Arabidopsis thaliana: one gene and its partners. The main gene of each other region encodes a partner of the protein of the gene in region 4 in a complex. Each region holds a gene or a part of one and is shown on either strand. Other genes may lie near its edges. The genes, in order: TOC159, TOC132, TOC75-IV and TOC33.

What was found.
Region 1: TOC33 (region 4) and TOC159 share a complex: the UniProt entries of both Arabidopsis thaliana proteins name them as parts of the TOC core complex.
Region 2: TOC33 (region 4) and TOC132 share a complex: the UniProt entries of both Arabidopsis thaliana proteins name them as parts of the TOC core complex.
Region 3: TOC33 (region 4) and TOC75-IV share a complex: the UniProt entries of both Arabidopsis thaliana proteins name them as parts of the TOC core complex.

Annotation. Positions count from the first base shown.
Region 1 is NC_003075.7:1,102,706-1,112,298, reverse strand, and holds TOC159 (translocon at the outer envelope membrane of chloroplasts 159), read right to left. Parts: upstream 7,734-9,593; 5' UTR 7,534-7,733; coding exon 7,470-7,533; intron 7,387-7,469; coding exon 2,939-7,386; 3' UTR 2,600-2,938; exon of another isoform or gene 2,533-2,599; 3' UTR 2,496-2,532; exon of another isoform or gene 2,324-2,495; 3' UTR 2,162-2,323; intron 2,019-2,161; 3' UTR 1,934-2,018; exon of another isoform or gene 1,634-1,933; 3' UTR 1,627-1,633; coding exon of another isoform or gene 1,187-1,626; intron 1,114-1,186; 3' UTR 1,076-1,113; coding exon of another isoform or gene 1,027-1,075; 3' UTR 918-1,026; coding exon of another isoform or gene 768-917; 3' UTR 515-767; downstream 1-514. Other genes in the region: GSTF2 (glutathione S-transferase PHI 2), read left to right, coding at 768-917, 1,027-1,075, 1,187-1,626; XT2 (UDP-xylosyltransferase 2), read right to left, coding at 8,954-9,328. UniProt on the Arabidopsis thaliana protein: GTPase involved in protein precursor import into chloroplasts. Seems to recognize chloroplast-destined precursor proteins and regulate their presentation to the translocation channel through GTP hydrolysis. Required for chloroplast biogenesis.
Region 2 is NC_003071.7:7,209,586-7,218,081, forward strand, and holds TOC132 (multimeric translocon complex in the outer envelope membrane 132), read right to left. Parts: upstream 6,033-8,496; 5' UTR 5,895-6,032; exon of another isoform or gene 5,542-5,894; 5' UTR 5,525-5,541; coding exon 1,904-5,524; 3' UTR 1,809-1,903; intron 1,695-1,808; 3' UTR 1,474-1,694; downstream 1-1,473. Other genes in the region: AT2G16630 (Pollen Ole e 1 allergen and extensin family protein), read left to right, coding at 1-513, 945-1,287; PRORP2 (proteinaceous RNase P 2), read right to left, coding at 6,352-6,480, 6,552-6,620, 6,723-6,843, 6,942-7,120, 7,219-7,320, 7,490-8,476. UniProt on the Arabidopsis thaliana protein: GTPase involved in protein precursor import into chloroplasts. Seems to recognize chloroplast-destined precursor proteins and regulate their presentation to the translocation channel through GTP hydrolysis.
Region 3 is NC_003075.7:5,802,675-5,808,588, reverse strand, and holds TOC75-IV (Outer membrane OMP85 family protein), read right to left. Parts: upstream 4,201-5,914; 5' UTR 4,172-4,200; coding exon 3,995-4,171; intron 3,948-3,994; exon of another isoform or gene 3,896-3,947; coding exon 3,785-3,895; intron 3,693-3,784; coding exon 3,501-3,692; intron 3,426-3,500; coding exon 3,177-3,425; intron 3,101-3,176; coding exon 2,846-3,100; intron 2,736-2,845; coding exon 2,496-2,735; 3' UTR 2,234-2,495; downstream 1-2,233. Other genes in the region: AT4G09090 (Carbohydrate-binding X8 domain superfamily protein), read left to right, coding at 919-1,269; AT4G09070 (TATA-binding related factor (TRF) of subunit 20 of Mediator complex), read right to left, coding at 5,197-5,430, 5,757-5,914. UniProt on the Arabidopsis thaliana protein: Mediates the insertion of proteins targeted to the outer membrane of chloroplasts. Required for the import of protein precursors into chloroplasts.
Region 4 is NC_003070.9:446,910-453,016, reverse strand, and holds TOC33 (translocon at the outer envelope membrane of chloroplasts 33), read left to right. Parts: upstream 1-2,590; 5' UTR 2,591-2,656; intron 2,657-2,758; 5' UTR 2,759-2,770; coding exon 2,771-2,866; intron 2,867-2,970; coding exon 2,971-3,078; intron 3,079-3,178; coding exon 3,179-3,303; intron 3,304-3,527; coding exon 3,528-3,792; intron 3,793-3,893; coding exon 3,894-3,962; intron 3,963-4,043; coding exon 4,044-4,205; intron 4,206-4,283; coding exon 4,284-4,352; 3' UTR 4,353-4,594; downstream 4,595-6,107. Other genes in the region: AT1G02290 (uncharacterized protein), read left to right, coding at 1,040-2,371. UniProt on the Arabidopsis thaliana protein: GTPase involved in protein precursor import into chloroplasts. Seems to recognize chloroplast-destined precursor proteins and regulate their presentation to the translocation channel through GTP hydrolysis. Binds GTP, GDP, XTP, but not ATP.

The DNA of each region.
Region 1 (9,593 bases), on a different chromosome or scaffold from region 4:
TTTCCAACAGATTTGTCAAAGAGGGTCTTTTTTTTCTCCAAATAATCCTTTGAATAATCATCATTCACTTTCTTAACTTCTTTGGTTATTATTTACCTTTATACATTTTGTTCATACTTACTATGCATCAATATCAACAAGGTTGATTTTTCCATCGAATTCCACCACACCAAAAGGAACCAAGAAACCATACCAAAACTTCTTTGGTTATTTATCTGAAACTAATTCAAAAAGATCTGATCAGTAAACCTTTGTTCTATTGAATCTCACATTAAGAGAAACCCTTTTAACTTGAGAAGGCATACAGATATAGAGCATCACAAAATCCCCGAAACAAAACCGAACCAGTCATAACCAAGAAGGGGGAAAGCTACTAGATGAAGCTAGTAGGTGGAAGTTTGAGTCATTTGGCCTATTACTACGCACTAGTTATGATCTTTTCTCTGATACATTGAATACTTTATTAAAAACCATTACATAACCAATGTAAAAGCAAATATTTAAACGTTAAACAGTCCAATTCAGCTTTGAAAAATCCTCCCAGAAGAAGAAGACTAGTCAATATTGGTTGCGATGGCCTTGTAGAGGCATTATTATCTGTTAGATAATATTAAACATTAATGAGAAAGTAGAAATGCTTCTGTATAAATACCTTCATTACTTGTGTCTTATTTCATCACCTTCACCTTCAACATCAAACATCACATTTCTTCCTCTTTTCTCTCTTTTTTCTCAGTCTTCAAAGAGTTTCTTAGTAACCCAAATCAATGGCAGGTATCAAAGTTTTCGGACACCCAGCTTCCATTGCCACCAGGAGAGTCCTCATCGCCCTCCACGAGAAAAACCTCGACTTTGAGCTCGTTCATGTCGAACTCAAAGACGGTGAGCACAAGAAGGAGCCTTTCCTCTCCCGCAACGTAAGTATATCTATATATCTATGTGTTGTTGTAAGACAAGAGACCAACTGTTTTCATGTATCTGGCCTGCATCTCAAATGTTTTGTGTTTGAACTTCTTTCCTCTTCAGCCTTTTGGTCAGGTTCCAGCCTTTGAAGATGGAGACCTCAAGCTCTTCGGTATGAACCTTTTCCATGCATCATCTTCAATCTCAACTCTGAGTTGACAAAAGCCATTAGAGAGCAAAATCACTAATAAGAATTGGATTTTTTTATTTTTATTTTGTGTAGAATCAAGAGCGATTACTCAGTACATAGCTCACCGATATGAAAACCAAGGAACCAACCTTCTCCAAACCGACTCCAAGAACATATCTCAGTACGCAATCATGGCCATTGGAATGCAAGTAGAAGATCACCAGTTCGACCCAGTGGCTTCAAAGCTTGCTTTTGAACAAATATTCAAGTCCATCTACGGCTTGACCACAGACGAAGCCGTTGTTGCAGAAGAGGAGGCTAAGTTAGCCAAGGTCCTTGATGTCTACGAGGCTAGGCTCAAGGAGTTCAAGTATTTGGCTGGTGAAACTTTCACTTTGACTGATCTTCACCACATTCCCGCGATTCAATACCTGCTCGGAACTCCCACCAAGAAGCTCTTCACCGAGCGTCCACGTGTCAATGAGTGGGTGGCTGAAATCACCAAGAGGCCAGCTTCCGAGAAGGTTCAGTGAGAAATTTCTAAAAGGAAAATATGGTTTTGCTTCAGTCACAGTAATAATGCTAAGATTAAATAAGCGGCTTTCTCATTGCCCAATTTCTCAGTACTTTCTTTCTGTTGTATCCTCTGTTTTCTTTCAGTTATGTGAGTGTGTGTGTATGCTCTTGAGAGTATCTTTGGCAAAAACTATTTATCTAATCTTCAAGCTATTCTAAAATAAATCAATTAGTTAACTAATGCAAAGATTGCGATGTCTTAACTATGGAGATACTGACTAGTGAGAATAGTATGTAAGGACTTTAGTCTGGTGGAAATCTTACTTTGGAACGTTTCTCCTGGCGAAAGAAGTTGACTTAAGAAGACTTTGAACGTTCTTATCCTTAAAGTTTCCTTGCTTTGTCATGTCTGAAAATGACAAGTAAAATATAGACGTAAGCTTCAAATCAGACAAAACAAAACACATCAGATTTCTGGACCTATTCACCTCTCTATAAATAACAGAAACGGTTAGAGCAGCAAGTTTGTGTTTTTCACCATCAATTTTGTACCTTGACCGCCGTAAACGCAGGGTGAAGAAAGTCCACCTAGTGTTTATCTCCAACTGTTTGCTCGTCTCATTACTCTGATGACTTTGTGGCTACCCAAAGAATTGCGAGTAAAGCCAGCCATATATTTGCAGACTCTGGTCATCCTTTAAGTTAGAGGCTTTGCTACATCAAATATTCACATAAACCATAAAGATTAAGTCCACCAAGAAATATCCTTTATTCGGAGTTTTGTCTGCTAGTATCATCAAGTTTACTTCACCACGATACTCCAATAGTTTCCAGATATTATATAAGAATGAAAATCTATTACAAAGCATTTTTATAAAAAACATACCATTGCCTTCAAGGGACCAAGGAAGAACAGTAAGATCCTGGTGAAGAACACAATGAGATGAGGGTTCTAGTACAAAATCTTATCAACAGTTACAGGCTACGCACCTGCTTTAAAGATTCTTCACCGAGTGATTTGTATCTTCTGCAGAAATTTAGTAACAAATTAGCAAACTCAAACCAAGCAACATCATTAGCATGAGACGTAGACCAAAAGAAGACTGAACTAGATTCCATTATCTGAAGAACAGCAAGAGAAGCTGAGAAGGGCTAATGAAAGTGAAGAATTACTGATACATGATAAATTAAATCCGATGGGAACCTCTCAACAGAACCAAAATACAACTTTGATAAACTTCAACAAAGTTTTTATTAAAGTGGGGGAAAAACATGAACTAAAAACCAGTAATAAAAGAAAAGATCATTCTGCAGCATTCATCAGCATATTTAGTACATGCTGTACTTGTCGTTCGTCGCTTCGGGTCGAATGCTCTTGTAGATGGACATGGCAATTGGAAGAATGGCTGTGAGAGCGATTTGCAACTGATCCGAGCTGCTGGTTCTGACTGTGATCTGTCCGCTCATCTTGTTGTTAAGTCCTGCACGAAGCGCAATCTTTGAGTTCCTTCCAACAGAGACTTGAGATTGGAGATTGGCTCCAAGGGCTAAATCGCCTCTCCACTTTACCAGAGACAGCCCAAAAGAAGATTGGTCCTGTCCAATTGGGAAATCAGCTTCCCTAAGCCTGACCTCGAGGTTCGCACCATAGGCCGAATCTCCCTGTGATCGCATTGTCCCAGTGCTGCCCACAAGCACCAACCTTTTCCCCAGTGCTATTTGGTCCTCGAGTTTGACCCCAGTGGCGATGTTCTCTCCCAAGAATGTCACTGACCCTCCAACAGTTGTCTTGTTCTTCCTCAAATTCTTGAATTTGGTTTCTCCTCTGACCACATATGCCAGCTGCTTGCCTACATTCTGAATATCGAACCCTGCCATGGTGGATCCATTCTCCCCGTGCTTAGCAGACACAGAGGAGTCCAGATGAATGTTGAACTCTTTCTTGTCCTTGGTGACTTGGACAGTAGCTGTGGCAGGGAACCGGCTAGCTAGAGCAAGACTGTGTTCTGCATTGACGCCGTCATATCCACAGTCATGGTCCCAACCATGGGTATCCAACACTGGCCTGGTTAGGAGTTGTGAAGTGGGTTCCAGATATCGGTATCGGTAAGCTGAGTTATCACTATCAAATGAAGGTGGCAAAACCATATCGGGTAATGGAACTGGCACTGCAGCTGGAGCCCCGTTTTCTGGATCATCTTCTTCTCCCGGATAACCAAACTCACTTTCACCCAGCTTCTTCCCGTTTTTCTTCATTTCTTTCATCCTCTTTAATTCCTCTCTCCATTGCTTCTTCTGCAGGAGCTTTACACGGTAATCATACTCCTCGAAATATGCCTTTCTCTGTTCATTTGAGAGCTTTGCAAGTTGGGTTTTTCGAAGAGGCTTAAATGGTGGCAGCTGGTCATACTCATCATCTTCCCCATCTTCCTGCTCAGAATCAGACACATCATCAATTTCGATATCAGAGTCAACACTATCACCACCTTGGTCTCCAGGGAGCTTAGGATGTGCACGGGACTGCAACAGCCAAGACAACAAGTAAGGGAGAGGCGGGGATCTAACTCGGAAACCAAATACTTTACGATGGTCCAATGGTTCTTGAGGCCTCAATAGAGAATTTGTTTCTGACAAAACCTTCAGGGAGTAACACAATAGCAACAGCTGAGATCTCCAAGTTTGGCCATTCGGGAGAACCTTCACTCCCTCCCGGTTCTTCCTACACAAGGGGTGATTCTCAACAAGTGAAACTGGATTCATCAGACTTGGATTCATCAAGCGTAGATCTCCAACAGCCTGTCCTATAGACTGTTGCACAATATGTGAGCACTGCGCTACAAACACATCATAGCTCAATGGGGTGCCAGATGGGCCATCAGGAGGGGCAGAAGCCGCATGGGTCAATGTCACTATAGCGTTTTTCCATATGGATGTACCAAGAGAAGCAGTAATCGTCCTTAGCAAGGGCAAATTGTTCAAGTCCCTGGTCTGGGTGTCAAGACGATCTACATATAGTACAATATCAGGGGGACACTTCTTCATTACCTTCTTTACAGAGGACAACATTTTTGCATTTGTACTTTGATCCATCGCAGCAGACTTCAAACCCGGAGTATCAATAAAGGTAATCTTGACACCATTCACCGTTCCAGAAATTTCTCTAACCGAAGTGGTTGAGAGCCCAAAAGCATCAATGGACGCAATCTGGTTTCCCAAAATGGAATTTATAGTAGCACTTTTTCCCACCCCGGCTTTTCCAAGGACCAGTATGTTTAGGGAGAAGATCAATTCTTCGTTGCCCTCAGCCTCAGACTCCACAGCCTTCTTCTTTGCAGCATCAAGACTGAATAACTGCCCTGCTTGTCTCCCAGCAAGTAGTGCAAGACGGTAAAGAACCTGCGCTGCAATTGAATCTTCTGCCGAATGACCCAACCTTTGCAAAAGCCGCAAAAACTTCACACGGAGGCTTTGCAACTTTTCTAATTTCTGTTTCTCTTCCTCGCTCAAGTTAATCTCAGTCTCATCTGCCATTGTGACATTAGAATTGGAAAAGATGTTGGAACGGTTTGCACGTGGAGCTGCTGCAGGCTTCAAGGGCCTTAACGATGAACTCAAACCAGCAGGTCGATCCATAGAGAAAAGCTTCGTGCCATCCTGAGATGTTATGGTAAAATTGCCACCTTCTGAACTTCCACCACCAGTGGCTGCCTTCAAAAGCGCAGCCAAAGCTGCAGTATCAAACATTTTCTCCTCACCTTCATCCTCTGTGTCTACATCCTCGTCAGAATCGGTGACAATCTGGCCATCAATCCTATCTGACATATTGTTAGAAATGTTTGCTTCATCAGAATGTGCCTCTATACCAGAAGAAGCCTTTTCCAACTCTGCTAAGAACTGTTTTGCAGCTTCAGAACTCCCAAATATCATCTCTTCAGTTTCTTCTTCACTTTCAGACCCATCAACCCTGGTAACACCTTCGCCAGAAGGTTCCTGGTCCACTTCCTTGCCTCCAAAGCTAAACTCACGAGAAGAAACAATGTCTTCGACTGGGAGCTTGTTTTCATCCTCTTCAGCACTGTCCCCTTCGACAACTTTCCGAACCTCAAACTGTGACTCAGCTGCAGGAATTGAATCCTCTTCTGCATCAACTGAACCCACTTTTAAACTTTCAGAAACAGGCAATTCTTCTACTTCCACACCTACTTTTGGTTCGTCTGGCTCTACTTTGGCAGCCTCTGATATTTCCTTAACAGCCAATTCAAAATTTCCATCATATGCAGCAGTCAGGTCATCAGGTTCCTCAATATTTGAGATGGTCTTGTCAACCTCATCATCTTTATCATCTTCCTTAATTACAGCCTCCTTAGCCGCCCCGACAACCACAACCCCTGGCTCTGCAACATTGATATCAGCATCAACAGAGTCCACCACAGAGGAGTCAACCATAGAGTCTCCTTCACTAACCAACTTTCCTCCTCCCTCCTCTGTGGCTTTATCGGATTCAAGTTCAACTTCACCACCTTCACCTTGGCCAATTGGATCAAACTTATTATGCACATCAGGGATGTTGCCATCAGTTTCCAGCACCTCACTCACCTCTACGTCTCCAACAACAACAACCCCTGGCTTTGCCACATCTACATTCACAGCTTCAATAGCAGATGAGTCCACCACAAAGTCTCCTTTGTTGTTTAACTTAACACCTTCTTCTGCATCATCGACTATGCCACCGAGCACACTCTCCTCCTCTTTGGTTCCATTGTCAGCTACTGCACTAGCTGCCTTGATTACTTCAGCATAAGTCATACCCTTCTCCAATCCGTTGGCTTTTTCCACATCCTTTGGTTCACTCCCACTCTCGGCAGCTACAACCTCTGGCTCTACAGCACTGGTATCCACAGATTCTAACTTAGAGGAGTCTGCAATAGAGTCTGATTCGCTAGTAAATTTTTCTTCTACCTCCTCAATGGCCTTGTCAGACACAGGTTCAAATTCACCACTATCATCATCCCCAATTTGATCAAACTTATTAGCCACTTCAAGAGTTTCAGCATCAGCATTAATCTTCAACTCCTCACTTCCCTCTGCGTCTCCTACAACAACCACCCCTGGTTTTGCCACATCAACATGCACTGATTCTACAGGGGACGAGTTCACAATGACGTCTCCTTTATCAGTTAACTCCACACCCTCTTCTTCAATAACATTATCACTTTTATCGTCAACATCAACTTTTCCACCCAACTCACTCTCCCCCTCATCATCTTTTTTTGTTCCAACATCTTCTTCTTCCACATCCTTCACTTTACTCTCACTCTCCCCATCTGTGGAAGCCTGTTTCACATCAACATCAACACTCCCATTTTCAATCTTACTCTCACCATCGTCTTTAATATCCTCCACGTCCTCCTTAACCTTCTTATTCTCCTCCACAACCCCTACACCATCAGAAACAGCCTCCGGCTTCGGAGATAACGATGAAACATCATCTACACCAATTGTCTCACCAGAAACCACCTCAGGCTTCGGAGTAGCCTCAGGAGTAGTAGAATCCTCCTTTAAAGAACCATCCACCTCGTCGGAAACCTTCCCATCACCCACCAAATTCGGCTTCTCCTTCTCGGAGTCAGATAAATCATCAGCTCCAACCTTATCCGAATTACCAGACACAGCCTCCGATGAGGAATCCAACTCCTTGGCACTACTCACAGCACCACCATCCTCCTTATCGGCGGCTGCAGCAGCAGCGGCGGCGACAACAGAAGCATAGGTTTTTCCTGATAACAAAATATCCTTCCGATTAAAACCCTATTCCCAAAAACGCAGATTAAAGAAGATATAAACGAGAAAGAAGAAAAACCTGATTGCCCCGAAGAAGCGTAGAAGGGGTTGGTTGGTTCTGGAGTAACCGACTTTGAGTCCATTTCCGCTTTGCTACTGAGACTCTTTCTCCGCCAAACTTGTGGAGGAAGGAGATAGCGATAGATAGATAGGGTTTAAAGGAATTTACCCTTTTTTGTGTGAAGGTTTTTATGATTGAGAATTTGGCTGCTCTCTCTCTTTTGAAGAAGAGAGAATTGGGAGAGATAAGGTCACTCGGCGAACAAAAAATGACTCTTCGTTTTTCTTCTTTGCCTTGGGATTTTATCTTCTCAGTTTGTGTTTTGAGGATGATGATGAAATTACCGAATTACCCTCGCTTCTATGTTGGTGAAGTTTCCAAGAGGGCTCTCTTTTGTGCTACGCTTTAAACTGTGTCGCTTCATTGGCTCAAGCCAAAATATATAGAGTTTCTTTTTTTATTTGAGGAAGAAGTACAATAATCATTTGTGGTTAAAATTTGAAAAACATTGTATCATTTTAAAAAACAGTAATTTTTTTGTCAAGAATTTTCAATTTTTGTTGAGTAAATTTAGAATATTTTAGTCACTTTTTGGAAAGTATTTACTGTTTAATATTTTGTTTTTATTATGCACAATTCTCCAAATGTTAAAATCTTCCCCAATGGAAAATGTTTTGATGGGCTCACTAAATCTAGGGTTTTTGAACTCATGAGAATTAGGGTTTTGTTATATCTTCTCTTTACTAAAAACCAAAAAAACCACACAACAACAAAATAAAATAAAACATTTAAAATAAAAAACGAGATAACATTTTGAGATTTGGGTTTTATAAAGAAGAAAGAAATCTTTTTTGTATCTTTGTTGATCCTCCCTACCCGAAATTGCTTGGCCACAAACGATTTTCTCACCATTATCTACGAATTATCTTGGATTTTTGTATAACACGGATTCCATATATTAGGCCGTGATTTTAGTTTTCAGATGGGCTTTTATAAGGCCTCCCCCTAATAATAGCCCGTATACATGATTTTATTATCAATTAAAGACATTCAGATTTCAGATACAACAACCCATACTGCAAAAGAATCTGACCACATGCCAAATTTTGTTTTTCGAATTAAACTCCTAAACTACACAAAACTTGTGAATATGATCTCAGAACTATACTAACTCAATGTGATTTTTTCACATTTTGCATACTAAAAGTAAATAATTAGTTGAATGTGAAATCAGGTTAAAAAAAAGTTCTTGAATTAACACAGATTATTGATCCATGAAGCTACAAAATCTCAAGTTCTAATGGATTACAAAGAACAAAAAGGAAGAAAAACAACATTTTGATTTCGTAATAGAACTCTAGACGTAGAGACAAAGTAAAACCAAAGAATTAACTGATGTCTCTGCACAATACTTTATCATCCATCTTAGTACAACAACAAGCAAAGACACAAGACATAAATATAGCGAGAAACATAACACAAATCCTAAACGCAAAACCGATTCAAACTTGATTGGTTTGTACCTTAACCGCCTTAAACGCCGGATGAAGCAACCCGAGCTCGTCTTTCATCTCCAACGGATTGCTAGTCTCGTTCCGCACTCTCTTGACTTTACGACTAGCCAAAGATTTGTGAGTGAAACCATAGATTTGCAGAATCTGGTTATCTCCAAAGTTAAAGGCTCTGTCCATTTGTTTTAGACACCGTTCCACCGGGTAATCACCAAATTTCCCACACGGTTTGCAACCGACAAAGTGAGTCACCAATGGCCATCTGTGATCTCCTAGACCCGGGTGGTAGTTTTCTATCATTTCTTCATATCTGTCCACAAGAATCCCCCAGTAACCGTGAAGATAGTATCCACTTTCTAGGTACACCTATAACAACAATGCAGTGGCTCAAATGAGTAGCTCAACAAAATCCAAACCAAGCAAAGATTTGAGTTTACTTCAATAATAGACCCTTACACAGATGTCAGAAACCACAAGATGCAACTCACATTGTCATTTTTGATGATCAAGAGACATGATAAACCACAAAAAGCAACTCACATTGTTATTTTTGATGTTCAAGAGACATGATAAACCACAACAAGCAAACCACAAGTTTCCAAATTTAGTTTTTTTTTTTTTCCACATCAAA
Region 2 (8,496 bases), on a different chromosome or scaffold from region 4:
TAATTGGCTTGGAGGATATGTAATGAGATTTGATGGGACACCGGATCTAAGTAACTGTTATGCTCAAGTTTCAGACAATGGAGTTCAACAAGACCCAAGTAGCTGCAGCATTGCTTCAGGTCCTGCACAGAAACTTAAACTAATGTTCAGCTTTTTTGGGATTGAAACGTTTGCTGCGGATGCCCTTCTTGCTCAACCAGTTCAGCCAAGTTCTTTTTGTCCTAAACCACCCACAGCTCCGGTCATGCCTCCTCCTCAAGTTCCGGTAATGCCTCCTCCTCAGGTCCCGGTTAAGCCTCATCCTAAGGTCCCGGTTATAAGTCCTGATCCTCCAGCTACATTGCCTCCTCCTAAGGTCCCGGTTATAAGTCCTGATCCTCCAACTACATTGCCTCCTCCTCTGGTCCCGGTCATAAATCTTCCTCCAGTTACATCACCTCCTCAGTTTAAGCTTCCACCATTGCCTCAAATCCCTCCAATGCCATTTGTAGAGCCATCAGCTTGTTCTCACCAGTGAGCTTTCTCTCGGATTCATTCCCTAACTCACTTCAAAACAAGCCTAGATTTTCGGGTTTTTTCGGTTTTTGGCTCCATGAGTGAGCTTTCATATTTGTTCCTTATAGTACTTCAAATTCTGCTTCGGTATTTTGGTTTTTAAATTTGATTTTTCAACTAAAACCGAATTATTTGTTGGTTTGAAAATTGTTGTTTACTTAACATTTCGGTTCTGTTTTAAATTAAAATTGATAAAATTACAAAGAAAATAATGTATATTATATATCTTTAGTAGCTAAATATGATTTTTGGTAGTATAATCTTACTATTGGACTTTATTCGGTTTGGTTAGGCTAAGCTTGGTTCTTAGTTCGGTCTTACTTTCATATCTGTTTATTATGCACACCTTTGTTTCAGATAATTTTTAACATTGTGGCTTTGTGATATAGGTTGTGGATGAAACCTGAGTACAGATGCTACTGGAGGGCGATAGGTCCAGACACAAAGGTCGCAGTTGCATTTGGGCTAGTAGCCGGGAGAATATACGGCACAGATATGACAGTACGAGAAGCGCTTGACGGGCGAGGAGAAGCCTATAAGACACTTCTAAGAGAGGCAACAACTGCATTGCTCAATTCATACAACTCTCTAGGATTTCCTTATAATTCCGTCGCTGTGATCACATATACCAATCTGGCTCTCCTCGGGAATTCGGAACACGATGTCCTCATGACTGCTATTCGTTTCATCAAGGCTAATTCCGGGACCTGCAGATTCACAGTCTGCAATTGATTGAATGTGTTTTCAATACTTATATACTCTACACTCTTTCTTTCTCTTTTACATTGTTCTTGGGTCCTTTTGTAATACTATAAAAGTCTATACCTGGATTCATTGGAGAATTTATGGACTATTATTGTATCCCTATTTATACTCGGCATTAAACTTAGTTGTTACAAAGCCTAACGTTCTAGCACTGTGAGCACTAAATGTTGTTATGATATAATGCATCAATGATTGGAGAGGGACATGAACAAAAGTAGATATGCTTCATTCATAAGGGAGATCACAAGGTCTTAGAAATAGAAGAAAAACAAACCACTGAGCTATTATATATCAGACAAGGAACGTGTTATGTTCTGGCTATTTCAAGACACAAACTTTCCTCCAACAATTGGTCTCTTGCTACCAGACAGATCCTGTTCAAAACCAAAGCACATCAACGCTCAGCAAAATCCATTAAGAGGGTTTCCAAGAAAACGAAAATATCGAAATCAGTAATCACAGTAAGATATAGAGATCAGATTGTGTACCTTTTCAACTCACTCTAACATGTTCTTGTGACTAATCGATTCCTAATACTCCAGTGCAAAGGGATGGAAGTGAAATCAGCCTAAATGTTTCTTAATCATTGTCCATATTGCGTTTGCGGGTAATAATAACTAAGTAGCTTCTTGAAGAGAGGAACAATCGCAACCATAGCAAGTTGGAGCTGCTCGGAGCTGTTAACACGAACACTTACTTGCCCTGCTCCTCTATTGTTCAGATTAGCACGAGCAATTAAATTAGAGGAACGTCCAATGGGAACCTGAGACTGTATGTTCCCTCCAATAGCAAGATCACCGTGCCAATCCATTACAGAAAGTCCAAGAGTAGTCAAAAACCGACCAAGCGGATAATCTTTATCTCTCAACTGAGCTTCCAAAGTACCACCATAAGCAAAATCTCCCCGACTAGTCATAGCTCCACCAGACATTACGATTCTGAACCATTTACTAGCAATAAACTTATCTTCGACTTTCAACCCCGCAGAAACCGAATCACCCAAGTGTGTTACAGAAAGACCAGCTGCAGCCTTGTTTCTCCTGAAATTGTTAAATCTCGTTTCGCTTCGAAGAGTATAAGCCAATTCCTTTCCAACAGTTTGCATGTCGAAACCTAGGGAAGTTGATTTACCCTCTCCATGTTTAACCGAGCTGGCCATTTCTAGCTGCACATTTGCATCCTTCTTGTCTTTTGTCACTTGACCTGAGACAGATATTGGTATTTTTTCTTTTACAACAAAGAGCCGTTCTGCATTCACACCTTCATAACCAATATCATGATCCCACCCATGAGTTTCCAGGACTGGCCTAACAAGCCACTGATTGGAGGAATCAAGGTACCGGTAGCGGTGAGTAGGGTTATCAGAGTCAAAAGACGCAGGTAGAGATAAATCTGGCATAGGAACTGGAACTGATGCAGGTCCACCACTCTCCTCTTCCACATTTTCACTATACCCATCAGGCAAATCTTTAATCTCTGCAGCAAATTTCTTAAACATCTTACGTCTCTTTCTTTCCTCTTTCATTTGCTTCTTCATTAAAAGTTTCTCTCGGTACTCCATTTCATCGAGATACTGCTTCTTCTGAGATTTACTAAGCGTAGCCATCTGAGCTTTAGTCAAACTCTTAAACGGAGGAAGCTGATCATACTCTGATTCTTCGTCTGAATCTGATGATTCTTCTAAATCATCTTCATCTTCTTCATCACCATACTGCTGTTCAGGAAGCTTAGGTTGTGGTCTTGATTGCAGAAGCGATGAAAGGAGAAATGGTAATGGCGGAGCCTTGGACCGAGCTGCAAATGGTCTCCCTGGAATATTATCTTGCAACTTCAAAAGAGCATTTGCTTCTGCTAGAATCTTAGATGCAAATGAGAGTAGCAACAAATGTGGCTTCCACACTTGGCCATTCGGTAATACTCTCTGGCCTGCCCGATTAGTCCTGCAAGCTGAGTGATTCTCAACTAAAGAAACAGGGTTCATGAGCCTCATATCTCCAGCTGCTTGGCGAATGGCCTGCTGGATGACATGAGAACGTTGTGTAACAAACATATCATAGCTAGAAGCAGTGCCATTTGGGCCATCTGGTGGAACAGAAGCGGCATGAGTCAAACCCACAATGGCATTAAACCATATCGAAGGACCAAAAACATCACTTATGGTGCGCAGGAGAGGCATGTCACCAGAATCTCTGCTTTGCATATCCAACCTATCAAGATATAGTACAATGTCAGGTGGATTCTTCTTGATGAAAGCCTTAACAGAATTCAGGATCTTCTCATTCTTGGCTTGATCAGACCAGGAAGGTAAGAGACCGGGAGTGTCAATCACCCGTACCTTAATTCCCTGAACCAAACCCTCAACATCTTGAACCCTCTTTGTCCCCATCTGGAATGCATCAGTACAAAATTTCACTTCATCAAATATAGAATTGATCGTTGCACTTTTACCAACCCCACTTTTTCCGAGAACCATAATCGTACAAGAAAAATCAAGTGGATCCTGTCCAGCAGCCTCAAGCTGTTCTGCCATGGCACTAGCGCGATCAAAACTAAAAGCACCAACACGGCTTCCATTTCTGCCCCTCAACTGCTCAGCCAATCCAAGCCTGTATAAAACCTGAGCAACAACAACATTATGCGGGGTTTGCCCTAGTCTATGTGCAAGCCTCAAAAATTTTACCCTGATCAACTGGAGCTTCTCGCGGGTCTCATCATGCTCATCAGCCTCTGTAGTGGTAGAGTCTTCAGCTTGCTGAAACTGATTGTGAGACCCATTCCCATTGACGCGAGACTGTTGAGGAGCACGTGATGCAGGTTCCAAAAGAGGAGAAGCACGACCAAGACCTGCTGGACGAGCAGGTGGTAATGCCGCAGGATTACTTCTAGACTCTGTTGGTGAAACAGAACTTACTACCTCAGGTTCTGTTTCCACATGTGAATTTTCTGTAATCTCTGGATCTACATGTACTCTGCTGCTTTGCTGCTTCTCAAGCTCCTTATTTGGTTGAGGACTCTGAACATCATGTCCTCCATTAGCACTTTGAACTGGTTTGTGTTCTCTACTAGTTACCCCAGGGGAGCCACTATTGCTGTGAACTTCAGTTGACTCAGGATATGAGTGCGGCGAAGAAGCCAAGTGTTGCTCTGGTTTTAAACAAGTACTGTCCCCTTCAGTCTCTCCCTTTTCCCCGGAACTAGATTCCTCCAATGGAGATGAAGTCACAGCACTTGATACTTCATTGTCACCTGAAGCATTAGTAACGATATTACTTGTGTAGGCGGCACCAGTCTCACCATTTCTTTCTGCCTCGGACTCACTGTCCATACATACTGAACCATTCTCAAATAGATCCTTACTTGTTCCTTCACCTTCCACAACATCTTGTTCTGTCTGTTTCTCAAATAGATTCTTACTTGTTCCTTCACCTTCTACAACCTCTTCTTCTGTCCGTTTCTCAAATTGATTTTCAGTTGTTCCTTCACCTTCCTCAACCTCTTGTTCTGTCTGTATGCCATCAACTCTTTCCTCCCAATTATCGACTTCAATGCCATCATTCCATGGTTCCTCAATCCCATCATCTTTAGGGATAACTTCAGCCACCACTTCTTTATTTTTAGGAGAGGCGATTCCATTTCCCAAAAAAGAATGAGTCTTTCCGTTTTCAATACCCACATGCTCAGCTGCTAAATTGGAACCATTAGTATTAGTTGATGTAGCATTCTCAGTGGTATCAACAACATCCAAGCTCGATTCAACTTTATCATAAGAACCACCTCCACCTCCTTCCCCCTTATCACCATTCATTTTAGTAGCCAAAACATCAAATTCAGCCTCTCCCGCACCATGGCTCTCTCCAACAGCCGTAAAATCTTTAACACCCCCTTCATTGCTACTCGTTTCATCCAAATCACCCACTGCCTCTTCAAAATCCTCCACTTCATGCTCAACCATAGAACTTTTAAGAGTTTCCACTAAAGGCAAATCATCAGATTCAAACAATTCACGTTTTGGATCCTCCTCCTCCTCCTGCTCATCATTCTCTGAACCAATCGCTTCCTCAAAAACCTCGTCCTCGTTATCATCCCTTACTTCATCAGATCTCACCAACTCATTCTTCACTACTTGCTCATCACTAATTCTATCCTCAGCAAGCTTCTTATCTTCCCTATCTGACCTAACCACAAACTCAGTCCCATCTCCCATTTTCTAGATCACCACCGCTACGGGAAACAAAAGCCACAAATACAATAATCAGAGATCAGAAATCACTCCAATTACCAACTACGCTTTAACCATCAATATAAATTCCAACAACCAAAAAAAAAAAAAAACGAGCACACAGCTAAAAGAAACCTAGATCAGAGTTAATCACCACGAATCCTAGAATCCTTATCCCTTACCAATTCCAGAAACTAAAATTCAATTGAAGTTAACCAAATCGCTTAAACACAGGTCTAAGCGGTGATAGGGATCTCCAAACATGGAAGAAGAACTTTGTTGATTACAGGAAACGAAAACCAAAACAGAAGAAAGAAGACGAAGAAAGAAGAAGAGAAATGGAGAGAAGCCTTACCAGAAGTTAGAGATAGAGAGAGAGAGAGAGAGAGAGAAATAGAGAGAAGGTGAAAAAGTGTGAAGATCCTTTCATGCGCTTTACCGGCTGCGAGCCTGCGACTACGACGGGGAAGGAGATAAGAGACGTTCATCAACGGTCCTGATCAGTTTGGGTTTAAGCATCGTACGGTTGATAATGACTCGTTGATGCAATCGTGAAATGATGCTGACGTGGACTATATAAAGTAGAGTGAGTGAAGCCGTGAAAGGGAATAGAAAACCCTCGTGCGTCAATTCGGTTTAACCAACCCGGTCTGATTCGGTTTGGTCTACTACAATTTTTTGTGTTCTTTCTAATGAGAAAAGTTCAGTCCCTTATTATAGAACCAATGAACGTTTTTTGTGTTAATCTTCAAAGGACAAAGAATGAAAACTCATAACAAATGATACATGAACTCAATAAGCTGGTGCAGCTACTAAGGAATCTTCCCATTACTCTTAGGTGAATCTAAAATACTTTGTCTGCTAATACACATCCAAGTTCTTGAAGACTCTTCATTGTTTTCGCATGAGACCGGGAAATGCCATGACCCTTTCTCTGATTCCTGATTTTGTCGAAACGTAATTGAGAAACTATCGAAACCGGAGAAAAAAAGGACTGAGATGGTAAACAAACCTGAATGACAACCGAAAAAGGAGACGGCATTTCAAGCTTCAGGTTACCTTTCACAAAAGTATACCGGACCTGTACCAAAACCATAAACCAAATGTTCTAATTGTAGACTTCTCAAAGTTGCACTTTTAGTATAAAAAGTTACATATTGTATATAAGTTTATATAACTTTACCTGATGTCTTTCTTTCCACTTTTGGAAAAAAGTACTCCCTAAGAGTTCAAAAATGTGGTCTCTCATCTCATCATTTGTCACAAGCAAACACTTGAGCTTAGCAGCAGCATACAGCCAATACCTGGAAAGGTAAAAAAAACAAAAGATGAGTGTAGTAACCAAACATTGTTTGTGTTTTTTGTCGAAATAATGGTGCTGAGAGAAGCTAAAAGTTCATACCAATCATCATTGGAACCTGGTGGAGTTGCATACAGGACACCGTTACTAATCCATTCTTCAACCAGATTCCGGTGAGTTGGGTTTTCTAAAAGCGTCTTGACCCGTCTCTTGTGCAATAGAATTAGGGGCCATTTGTTATTACCACTTTCACGGTAAAGTTCCTTCATCACAGATTCAAGCTGCTCTATCCCACATGTATGTGATATCAGTATAGCAAGGAATGGATTCTAAAAATATGGAGGAAGAAAAACAAGTACCCCAGAAAAGATGGGAGAACCTGTGAAAGACTGAAACTGCCATCTACAAAATTTTGTTGGTAGAGCCCAATATTTGCTCCATCTACTATAGCTTCGTAATCTCCATGTTTCTCAAGCCAGTCCTGCCAAATAAGATAGCAACATTCAACAAATATCGACATTTGAATACTCAAGATTGATGACAATTCGCAGCAAAAACTCCAACCAGTGTACCTATCTCTAAATGCTTATCATGCAATATTTAATGTCCAAGACTTATTATAACCAAGCTAAGAGAATCCCATCTCTAACCTGAAACTCGCTGAAGACCACATTTGTCTCACATGAATTCATCTTTGTCTTCCTATCCATAGCCAAAGCCACCAAAGAATCCACAAACTTCTGTGTTTCTACCTCATTGGTATCTACACAAGCTAACTGCTCACTGCAGCTCAAACATCTTCCTGTTGAGCTAACATTACCTTTCTTTACAGTCCATTTACCCTCCCCAACCCACCCATGCCCGTGCCACCCACCTCCATTATTCAAAACAGCTTCTCTAAGCATCCCAACATCAGAACCAATTCCATTATCACCAACCTCACCAGCTTTTTCTCCACAGAACCATTCCTCAATAATTTTCAAAGTTTCTTCACTAACGCAGCCAACATATTCCCTCAACTTATGTAAATATCTATAAACCTTGTTTTCTCGACCCGTGGCAGCACTTACCTTCAACAAAGCCGATATCTCTGCCTCCTCCAATGCAATACCTGCAGCTTCCATGTGCTCTTCTACCTCATAACCCTTTTCAGCCTCCAACTTCTCGCAGAAACAGAGCAAAGCCGGCGCATATGTCCTCAGACGAGGAATCGACACACCTCCAACAGAAACAAACTCCTTAACAACCTTGAAAGCATAATCACCATTACCTTTAGCAGCAGCCAGTCTAGCCACTGAAGTAACAGATGCCTCATTAGGACTTATCCCCGAACTAACCATACGATCAAAAATCTCGAAACCACGGTCAATGGCAAGGTATTGAAGAGATATGTCAGTAATGGAAGCTGAGCATAGGTACAGAAGCGTTTGAAAATGTTGCTGGCTGAGACGTACTTCACTGGAAGTGATGGCTGCATCATAAAGTGCTAATGCAGCTGAGAGGTCCTTGGACTTGGAGCATGAATTGAGATTGAAGAGGAGATTTGTTTCTGGGTTTCTGCTTACCTTCTTCTTCTTGTTGGGTCTTGAAGAGCTCTCGTCGTGACGGCGAGACCGGTGTTGATCAGAAGCAGCCATGTATACCTCAAAGTTACAAG
Region 3 (5,914 bases), on a different chromosome or scaffold from region 4:
ATCTTCTGATGTGAGACAATATCCCTAATACATACCCATTAGTTTTAGTGTATATGTGAATTTACTTGCTTATAACGCATGACTAGATGTGTCGTCCAGCGATTTGTTGAGTAATGGTGTATCTAGACCTTACATAATTGATTCTGCAAATGGTAGCTCTTTTATTCATTTGTGTTTCTAGTTTGTGAACATAGAATAAATTATTACATATCTTAGATTTCTTTGAATGAAATGATCATCAATACCCCTGCAAAATCCATGAATTCCCAACAATCATTTTATTGACTTTTTCTTGCGTTTCTTTCTCTTGTTTACATTTTTAATTTTCTATTTTCATTCGTGACAAACCCCCAAACCAACTTTATATATTTTTCCTAGCTTTATTCTCTTTTGACGATTTAGTAGCGCTCTCTCTCTCATTGACCAAGCTTTGGATTTGAGATGTTACTCATATATTTCTATTTTCTTAAATATCTTTAAATCTTTGGTTTTCTAATATATAGAACCTTTTTCATAGACATATAATTTCAAAGTTATAAAGTTATCTTTTTGTTTCTATAATCATACATTTCAAATTATAAAGATATATTTCTAATTATAAAGATATATTTCTTTCTTCCAAAATATTTTTATATCTTTGATTTTCTACTATCTAGTGGTTAAAAGTTTTAGATATCATTTCAAATTATAAAGATATATTTCTAATAATATATGTATATTTTCATTTTCATAAGTTTTTTAAAATCTTTGACTTCTTATATGGTTAAACTTTTTTTTATAGACATCTATGTATATAAAAACATATAAACTATCTTCTAAATACTATCTAGTAATATATAAAGACACATATACATTTACTCACATAGACATCCAAAAACAAAATTACTTGAATCTCAATTGAATTGTCATTTAAAAAAAATGGCCAAAATATCATCACTTTTGGCACTTCTTTTCATCATTCTATCTTCCATAATGATCAACCACCTCCATGTGGCGAGTTCCACAAAATGGTGTGTAGCAAAGATGAACGCAACGAATGCGCAACTACAAGGAAATATTAATTTTGGATGTAGTGAAGGAGTTGATTGTGGGCCAATTCAACCAGGCGGATCCTGTTATATCCCTAATAGTCTTGTAAATCATGCATCATTTGTGATGAATGCTTATTATCAGAGTCATGGTCGTACCAAAAAGGCATGTAGCTTCAAAAATACTGGCACATTTGCTGTTACCGATCTCAGTTTTGGTAAATGTGTGTATGTGTCTTAAAAATATATATATTTGGTTTCAATATCTGATATGCACAATAAATGATATGTGATTACATTCACATTTGTTTTTACGGATCCAAGTTTTGATAAATGTGTGTAGTGTCTTAAAAATATATATTTGGTTTTAATAACTAATATGCATAATAAATGATAGGTGATTACAATCATTCATTAGTGAATACAATCATCCATTGATGAATACAATTCGTAATTAATTTGATTGTATACATAAGACATGAAAAACGAGACATATCCAAATTGCACTTCAAAATCCCAAAAAATAAATATATTTATAAAGACCACTCAGTCTGAACAAATTTCTTTCACCACTCAAACCACGAGGCTCAAATATATACCATCATAAGTTCATAACTTAACCACTCATGAAAATCTACCATCACGTCTCTATTATATTTAGTCTCCATTGAAATAAAAACTTTCTAAACTGTATTTTATGCATTTCCTTTAGACGGTTGATAATACATGAGACCACCCCAATCCTTGATAATTCCAGAACAATAAGCTCATCAAAGGTTTAATAGATATCAACTTGCAGTACTGGTCGTTTTAAGCAATTCTAACAACCATTAAAATCAGAAATAGATAAACTCACAAAGAGATCACAACATATGTAAAATTGTTTATTTTTAACCTTCGACATTAGAACTCGTGACTTTTGAGTTTTATTTTGTTAAATAAAATCTTTAATACATTAATAGCTAGAGAGTTACGCAAACAAGTGGTAAAAATCTGGAACCTTCTATATACAGTAAAAATATATACAAGTTACCATTTCGGATATATGACGGTGTTTCACAAACCGGCCAGATGTAATACAATAAACCTTATTGGTCCGTCACATCCCATTGAGAGGACATAAACATCCGAGAAATGCGAGTGGACCAATAAGGACTAGGTCATAAGTGTCGGAAAAGTCGTTTTGCGTAATCAACAAGTTAATAGAGAGGGCATGAGTAAATGTAGTACGTGTTCTACGTCTACAGTGAACAGACTTCTTCAAAGTCAAAAACAAATCTAACTAAACATTTACTGTCGTGACGAGAGACATGAAACGGCTTGTTCTTATTCTCTTCTATCGCTTTAAACAAATGCCTAAACTCAATGACTTGCTATGCACGCATTTACATAACTAGAGTATCAGGATTATAAACCAAAGTATTAGAGTTAAGAAAGAAAGCAGCACAAAGTCTTCATGGCATGACCTTAGTATCTCTCCCCGAACCTGAGAAACAGAGCACCGGTTCCACGATTGTGACGTACAGTATATTCAGCTCGCACCATACCGAGTTTCACACCCAAACCATACGATGAACCATGTCCCATTTTCCTGTAAAGCCCTGTTGGATTCCCTTTCACATCCTTTGAACTTCCCAAATCGTTTCCATGCTCAGCAAATGCATACACATGTGTGTTCTTGACAGGAATTCTAATCTCAGCACCAAGCTATATACAATTAGCAACATACCAAAAAAAAGCTATATACAATTAGCATTATCAGATTTTATAAACTGAAAGACCAAAACAAAAGCATGTTTTTCGTAATTATATTTAACCTCGAGAATGTTTTTAGCTGCACCAAGTTCTCCCATGCTGTATCCTCGAACGGAGTTAGGTCCACCAAGAGCAAAAACATCATAGCTTGGAAGATCGCCTATGCAGCCACCGTAACGACCATGGAGGACTAGAACTGGTGGTTGTGGTTTATCGGATCCTTCTTCTACTTGCTTCAGCTGAATGAAACTTGTTAATGATAGTTGGTGGCGGTTGAAGAGCGGAAAATTATTTCCTATACCTAAGCCTTGATCCACCTGCGATTTGTGTTAGTACACTATTAAAGCTCTAATTTAGTTAAAAACACCAACATCAAGGGATTTGATACAAAACCTGAAAGATATTCTTCTCTCCAACAACAGCCCCATTCACTAGCTTGGTGTTGTCTCGGGTTATGTTGGCTTGTAGAGTGGCAATGTGGTCAATACCGGTACCACTTAGAGTTGTTGGAGGTCCATTAATACTGATTCCACCGTCAGGCGATAACAAGAGCCCATTTTCAGAGATTCGCCTGTTTTCATCTCGGGTTATTATCTCTTCAAACATAACTCCATATGTGAGTTCTCTCTGACGGGTTAAGTTCTGGACGTGAAAAAAAAGGTGCTTGTGAGAGATGATTACAAGTTGACTATCTATATATATAGGAGACTTGGTTACCTCAGTTATAGTAGCTTTAAGACAATCTCGACCCACAAACATTGGAGGCACTAGATCCTCATAGCCTGGTCCTCCAGTGAACACTGGGCTAAGTTTTCTGCTATTGAAGAAGCTCGTTTTGAAGGTACGGTTTCTAGGTTTTTTAACAGCTTCCAGAAACCGTACATACTCAATCTTAGACAAAAGATCATCCTAAGAGAAAACCAAGCGTATTAAAGGATCAAAATATCAAACTACAAAATAAACTAGATAGGTATCAGAAGCATATGTAAAAACAAGTGTACCAGCTTAGGATTAAAGATGTTCCTAATGGTCACAGAACCCATGAGAGACTGATTAGATCCCTCGCTATTTGGACGTCCCAAATTACAGTTCCCTGTTACCTCGAAAAAATCCTAATAATGCAAGATAATCAAACGAAGGACATAGTAAATTCAATAGAAAACTCTTATAACATAAAAAAGTTGCCAAGTTTAGTAGAAGACAATACATACCAAAGAAGGATCAAGACCCCACTTTTCTACTCTCTGATCTGTCTCATTAAGCTTGATCTCAAAAACAATACCATTATCTTTCTCATCTGCATGTGGTATGACTAAGGACTTAATCTTCCTCACAGCTTCCTTCACAGCTTCCATCACAATAACCTGAACAACAAAGAAGAAATCCATTAATACACACTAGAATAACTTAAGGTTCATTTCTCAGAGGAATTTCATCAAACACTTGGCAGACATCAAATTCTATTTTACAATTCTACTCAAATAGAAACTCTGTTAAAAGCCAAATCCTAAGCTAAACTCAAAGCAACGAAAGCAAAATTCTGAAATCTACTACTACAACGTGAACGAATCAACAAGGCAACACCAAAAAATCCACTGACTCAGATACAAATTTCAGTCTGGAATCGTAATCAAACACATGTTTAAAACCAAAATCCAAAGAAAAATAGCTCTCTGTAGTGATTTTGGTAGTTGATTTTGATCTTATCGCTTGTTCTTTGCGATTCAAGTTTTGAAATCAGTACAAAGAAAGAACACGAGAGAAACAAGCGATTTATGTACAATTTCTCGAAGATCAAACTCGATAATGCTTCACTCTCAAGAGGAATTAACAAAATTTCAGGTTACAGAAGAAGAGATTCAAAGCTACGTACCTACACGAGTCTTCTAGAGGTTGACGAAGAAGACGAAGAAGAAGAAGAATCTAGATCTGTCTCTCTCTCTACTCGATTTCTTCAAACTTGTAGCTCTCACACTTCTTTCTCTCTATATTGTTTGTTACTACCGGTAAGCTCTGTTTGGAAGAAAACATGCAATCGCAACCGCCAAAACTTCTTTGCGTTTTGATTCTGCATTTGGGATTCTTCTCATTTATGGGCCTTAAGCCCAACTCAATGACTGACCCAAATAACTAACACTAAGCCCAATCGTAATCCAACATTTTCGCTTTATTTATGCATTTTATAGACACAAGTGACCAGTAATTGAGTTTAGGGTCAAAAGATTCATAAAGTTTTCACAGTCATAAAACAAACCAAAAAGTTGGTAAGAAACTGAATTCACAATCTGCTCCAATCTCAAGTTTACAAATTGGTCTTCCAACTTTTTAAAACTACCATTTGTTTTTCAATCCTTAATGACTTCTAAAATCAATGATACCACAAAAACTCATAAAAGTCTTTGTTGTATTATCTTTAGCCTCTCCCAGCTTGAATTGCTGCCATCAAATTAGCCATGAAGAAAGCATATCCAACAGCGGTATGTTGCGGAGTGTAGTTGTCTCCAAGTCCAAACTTTTCAAAGTTGAGTTCTTTGTTCACAAACTTACCCGGCAACGACCTTTTCGACATAGCTTCTTGCCATATCTCCAAGAACTCCTCCATCAATTTTTTTGCCATTCCCATTGATGATATAGGAAGATACTCCACCTAAATAGTACACACACATAATTATAGGTTTCAAATGAAAGTAGTGCATAATAGCATAATGGCATAAGTTGATAGCACTAAAAATTCGTATAATGAAAACTTGTTGCATGGAAAACCGTAGATTATGCAAATTTTCTTAATTGACAAATTTTCTGCCTAATCACATTAGAAACCGTCATTATGTGTGTTACCAATCATAGCTAATAACCTTTAGTTACTGAGTTACATTACAAACTCCAAATTATGAATTAACTAGAGTGTTAGATAATCATTAACATTGATTATTAATATATCTCAACGTACTCAAAAGATATAAAATTTGTTACCTCCATGACTACGCCTCTAATGGTCTCAGCATGAGTAGGAACAACTTTACCAACTCTCAAACGAAAATCCCCAAGTTGATACTCAAGCCCTTCAAAGTAAAACGAGAGTTTGCATTTGTAAGACTGAAGGCTCTCCATGATCATTTGAATTGAAGAAT
Region 4 (6,107 bases):
GGCCTATAATTCTTTAATGGTGATTTCTTTTATTATAGGCCCATTCTATCAAGTAAATAATAATATCAGGATATTATACTTACCTGCAAGGTGATTCTTTTATTAAAGTTTACATGGGCCTATACGTTTCCAGGCCCAAACTATTTGTGAAGTAATGTCTAACTTGATTATAAATCACAATTTAAAAATGATTATTAATTAAAGTAATCAAGGCATTAGTTACTTTAGGCGGCTTTAATTAAAGAAATCAAAATACAAGTGTAACAGTAATTAGTCTCTCTAGTCTCTACTCTACTGTCGCATCGATCGAAAAGCCATAGAAATCTCTAGAAAGGAAGCAGAGAATCTTTGAAGGCGATGAAGTTCGTATCTGTAGCCAAAGGGATATGGTTTCTTCGACCCTAATCTGCTAATTTCACCTGTCTTTAGAGCCGGTAAGCTCCTCGTCTTTTACGCTTTCCGATCGATTTCTCTGAATATCTCGAGATTCTTTTTTTTTATTAGTTCCGGTAGGTTTTTGAAACTCATTGGAGCTGATTTGTGCTGAGATTTGTATGATACTTGTTTTTTATTCAAATTGTCTGCACATTTTTGTTGTCAAATCCAAGGGTTTTCGCTCTCTAGTTATTTGCCTTGTTGGAGCTTTTGATTTTGGTTATTGATTGAGTTCGCGATCGATTACGTTTAAGCTTTGTAGCTGATCCGATCTGGGAGATTTTCTGGTGTTGTGTATCTTCTTCTTTTTGAGTGCTTCATTGATCTCACAATGTATATTTCGTGTTTTATATAGCCTTTAGTGTTGTTGTTGCTGAAATCAGTGAGTAAAATGCTATTTATGTTCGTTTGATTTCTGATTAGTAACATACTCAGCTTCTCGCTGTCCATTGTATTGTAGTAGAATTCTTGTAATGTGAATTGCTGATGATGAGTCTTTAACATTTTCTATCTAGGTATCTCCTGCTTGTGTTCCTTTCTACTGAGTTTGTGGTTGGAGATTTGAAGTACTTGTGTTTTAAGGGTAGTAAGTGGTTAACTACAGATGAATAAGAATCAAACAGTTGGGCTAGACTCTGAAGATGATGACTCTGATGATTACGACATTGCGCAAGTAAACTGTGAGCTAGCTTTGGTTGAAGGTCAGCTCTGTAACATACCATACGAGCTCTACGATCTACCAGATTTAACGGGAATATTGTCTGTTGAGACTTGGAACTCACTTCTGACTGAAGAAGAAAGATTCTTCCTCTCATGTTTTCTGCCAGATATGGATCCACAGACTTTCAGTTTGACGATGCAGGAACTTCTTGATGGTGCCAATTTATATTTTGGGAATCCAGAGGATAAGTTTTACAAGAATTTGCTAGGTGGATTGTTTACTCCAAAGGTAGCTTGTTTCAAAGAAGGTGTTATGTTTGTCAAGAGGAGAAAGTATTACTACTCTTTAAAGTTCTATCATGAAAAGCTGATCAGGACATTTACCGAAATGCAAAGGGTGTGGGTTCAGTATGGAAATAAATTGGGCAATTACTCAAGGCTCCTCATTTGGTCAGGACGAACTCAAACCGGTAATCTCAAGCTACTGGACCTCAATAGAGTTCCATCTAAGGAAATGGATAGTGCTACATGTAGATTCAAAACTCCCAATGTAGTGAAACCCGTGGAAAGAAATAGATCGAAAAGTTTAACCTTCCCTCGCAGTGGCAGCTCCAAGAACAGTCTCAAGATAAAGATAACCAAGGAAGGAGTATTCCGGTATCAAGGTTCCAGCTTAGTTTCTGCTGGCCATCATCATCAGACTTTGCCAAAGGGTGTTCTCAAATTAGTCCCTAAATCTTCTTCTGCCATCCTCAGGAAACCCTATGTAGCTCCAGGAAACAATCTCCTGCAAATCCATGAAACCGGTTCAAAGAGTACTAGATTTGCAGCGTCTCCATACTTAGGTACGACATTTGAGAAACCACCCTACGGAACTCTTGGCTGTTCTATCCCAGACCCTTTCTTAACCTATTTGGAAACTACACAAAGATCAATCCAAGGTACAGAACCGGTGTTTCATGATCCAACACACACTGTTCCCAGTGCTCTCCGTGTTTCAAATTACTCCATCACAGAACAGAATATACCTCTAAAGCAAGAAGAATATGTCCGGTACCACCTGAAGTCTCCTGGTTTTAAGCCTAGGACTGTTGACAGAGGCTCTGAAACAACAGAGAGCAAGAGGATTTCGTCTAGTAATAACTTTCAGAGGGAAGCCAAGGCTCTGAGAAAACCGCTGGGGGTCCTGAGCGAAGACAATCATGCTCGAGAAGCCAATAGTGACCATTTGTTTTCCTTGACTTACAAGCGAAGAAAGGTTCAGAGAATCGCTTGAGCTCCCGTGACGCTATGCTAATTCAATGTTCCACCTAATGTAGTCTTCCATGAAAATATGAAGTGTAATGCTGCAACTTGGTAACTGGATTTGGTTTGGGGTTGAGTTTGTTAGTTTTCAAAATTTGAAGGCACTAAAAAGAAACACTAAAGAAATAGAGGAGTAAAAGTGAAAATAATTTGAACTATTAAACAAATTACCGATAAGGTCACATTCTTTAGCTTTTCTCTGCGGAACACATCGAGAGAGCTTCTTCCAAAAACCTCAAACGCTCCTCACACAACGGTAAGCTCCTCCAAATCTCCCAAAACGTTATCGCTTTCGAAATTAATTATCATCATCGTCATCACTCAGCGATTATTTACCAAAAGAATTTTTTTGCTGAAGGGTTTAGGAGTGATGGGGTCTCTCGTTCGTGAATGGGTTGGGTTTCAGCAATTTCCAGCAGCTACCCAGGAAAAGCTGATTGAATTCTTCGGAAAATTGAAGCAAAAGGTGTGTTTTGTTGTTGTTGTTCCTGTTTCTTTGGTGCTTAAGTCGGTTTCTCGGATTCTCCGTTGTGATTAGGAGATAATGATGGGAGGTTTTTGTAATTGCAGGATATGAACTCAATGACAGTTCTTGTTCTGGGTAAAGGCGGTGTCGGAAAATCATCCACTGTCAATTCTCTTATCGGCGAACAAGTCGTCCGTGTCAGTCCTTTCCAAGTACGTAATTCAGTTTCCCTAAGCTTGATTTTTTTAATTTGGATTAAGAAAGAGTAGTCATTTCAAGATATTTGATGGCTCTGTTTTGTTGATTTTGTAGGCTGAAGGATTGAGACCAGTGATGGTTTCAAGAACAATGGGAGGGTTCACTATCAACATTATTGACACCCCTGGACTTGTGGAAGCTGGATATGTCAATCACCAAGCTCTCGAGTTAATCAAAGGGTCAGTAGCTACTCTTTTGGAATATCTCTTCGTTGATTGTTGCATATAGGATTATCTCATTCGTTTTTGAATTAATTAAGCTAAGTATATATGTGGTTAACATGTTTACTTGTGGGTTTCTGTTGAAATTGTGAATTATGAGTATCTGGTTTACGCTGAAGCTGTATATTGGAGTGTGTGTGGAAGTTTTACGATAGTTGTTGTGTTTCTCGGATTTTGGACAGGTTTCTTGTGAACAGAACAATAGATGTCTTGCTCTATGTTGATCGTTTGGATGTGTATAGAGTCGATGAGCTAGATAAGCAAGTTGTTATAGCAATCACCCAAACCTTTGGAAAAGAGATATGGTGCAAAACCTTGCTTGTTCTGACTCATGCTCAATTTTCCCCTCCCGATGAACTTTCCTACGAAACTTTTTCCTCCAAGAGATCAGATTCTCTCCTCAAAACTATCCGGGCTGGTTCTAAGATGCGAAAACAAGAGTTTGAGGTATGGTTATTTATACATATACCTGTCTCCGAAAATTGTTATACCAATGTATGTTTGGTTCATTGTAGCAAGAATCAGTTTCATTCTTTACTGGCTTGTAGGATTCTGCAATCGCGGTAGTCTATGCAGAGAACAGCGGAAGATGCAGCAAGAACGATAAGGACGAAAAGGTTTGTGTTTTCGAATCTCTGATTTGATCCGACTTGGAGAGAGACTGACTGTTAAAAGTTGCTTACCTGCTCTCGGTTCAGGCTCTTCCAAATGGTGAAGCGTGGATCCCGAACTTGGTTAAGGCGATAACTGATGTAGCAACAAACCAGAGGAAAGCAATTCATGTAGACAAGAAGATGGTAGATGGATCTTACTCTGATGATAAAGGAAAGAAACTCATCCCTCTTATCATAGGCGCTCAGGTAAGAAAGAGACACAGTTTGATTTATTGTCTTGTTCGAATTTGGTAAACAAGTGAAATCCTTTCTTCTACTTTGCAGTATTTGATCGTTAAGATGATTCAAGGAGCAATCAGAAATGATATCAAGACAAGTGGAAAGCCACTTTAAGAGGCTCTGAAGAAGAGGTTTTGTTGTGAGCAAATTACAAGGAGAAGAAGAGTTTTTCGATTGTTCTTTCTTTTGTTAGATTTTATCTGCAACATTTTCTTGTTTCCGGCTTTATCTTTGTCTGTAATTTATGGAGATTTGTTCAAAGAAAAGATTGCCATGCTTTCTGGTTAAATGAAATGGATGTTTCCCAATCATAATATCACCAAAAAAAGAATATATTATGTTCTGTAGATAAGAAAAACAAATGATCTGCTAAAGTCTGTTTTGAATCAAACAAGTCTTTTAGCTGATGGGATTAATTGTTTGCATCCTCGGGTGATTACATAAACACAGATCAACAGAAAACTCGGCATAACCAAGGCCGCTTCTATCTCCCACAGGAAGACTAGCATTGGTAGCCTGATGTCAATGTCTGTTAGATCATCAATCACTGCTGCTTCTGTTCCATTATAAACAGTTTATTGAGAATTGGTTCGGAATCATCATCATATCCATCTCTTATTTCCTAATACTAATAGACATGAGTGTTTGTTTGTAACAGAGGTTTAAGAAATAGATCGTCCCGGTCCCACATAATCTAACAAACTTACCGTTTAGATTAGATAATCACCATCAGATCTCACAGTTGCAATATGATGAAAATAGACGGTCCAGATTTCTCGAACGTTCTCAAATAAGAAAAAGGAAACAACTGTTGAAGATAAAAGGAAAGTAGGAAACAATCGAAATTTGGATATGGTAATAGTCATTTTGACATGTGCAATCTTTTTAATATGTTGTAGTACCTGAAAGAAGCTGGATGGGCTCAAGGAGACCGAGTTTTTGCTTGTACCAGCCAAGACCTTTAGCTGTCCCGATTTGTTTTTGGATCATATCACAAGCTGCTGCATGAGGTATTGCTTTCTTCATTTACTTTTTTTTTTAGTAATTGATTGAAAGATTTTTTCAACCATGTTTTGTTTTTTTTGTAAGTACTAAATTTTTAATTTTTGTGACATAACATCCAAACAGAACGTGCCAAAAAAATTTGATACCATACGCGAAAATATGATTTAATATTTTAATAAATATTATAAACATAACAAAAAAAATAATTAATATTTAAAGTTTAATAATAAATTAAGCAAATTTTAAGCAAAACATAAATAATTTAGAACAAAAATATGACCAAAAACGATTAGGTTGATTATAATGTGTAAACTAGTAAAATGTGCTAGTGTCGTTATTATGTTATCAATCAAACGGTATAATGCATGTTGTTAACAAAACAAAACATAGTTTTATTGACTTCTCAAAAATGACCTTTGAAATAATTACGACAAAGAATATTTTTATTTTTTTACTAACCTTTCTATTATCGAACTCTTTCGTTGTAAAAATGTCTCTTGTCGCCGGTAGTGTCAAGAAGACGGACCTTTGAAATACTTCTCAAAAAAGACCTTTGAAATATTCAAAGGTATAGCAGGTGGCGAGATAGCCTGGCTTGTGAGAGAGGAGCTTTCCGTCTTCTTTGTTATGTGTATATTTTAATAAATAATTTTTTTGTTATGTTTACATTATTTATTAAAATATTAAACTATATTTTTTTGTTTATAGCATCAAAATTCATTGGCACGACTCTGATGACGAGACACCAAATATCCATATAATGGTGTTGCAGTTGCTTCGTTGGAAAGACGATAATCAACCTCCGGCCAAGATAATCTTCATATCAAACTCGCTCAGTATCTATCACTTCTCTTGGTTTTTTGC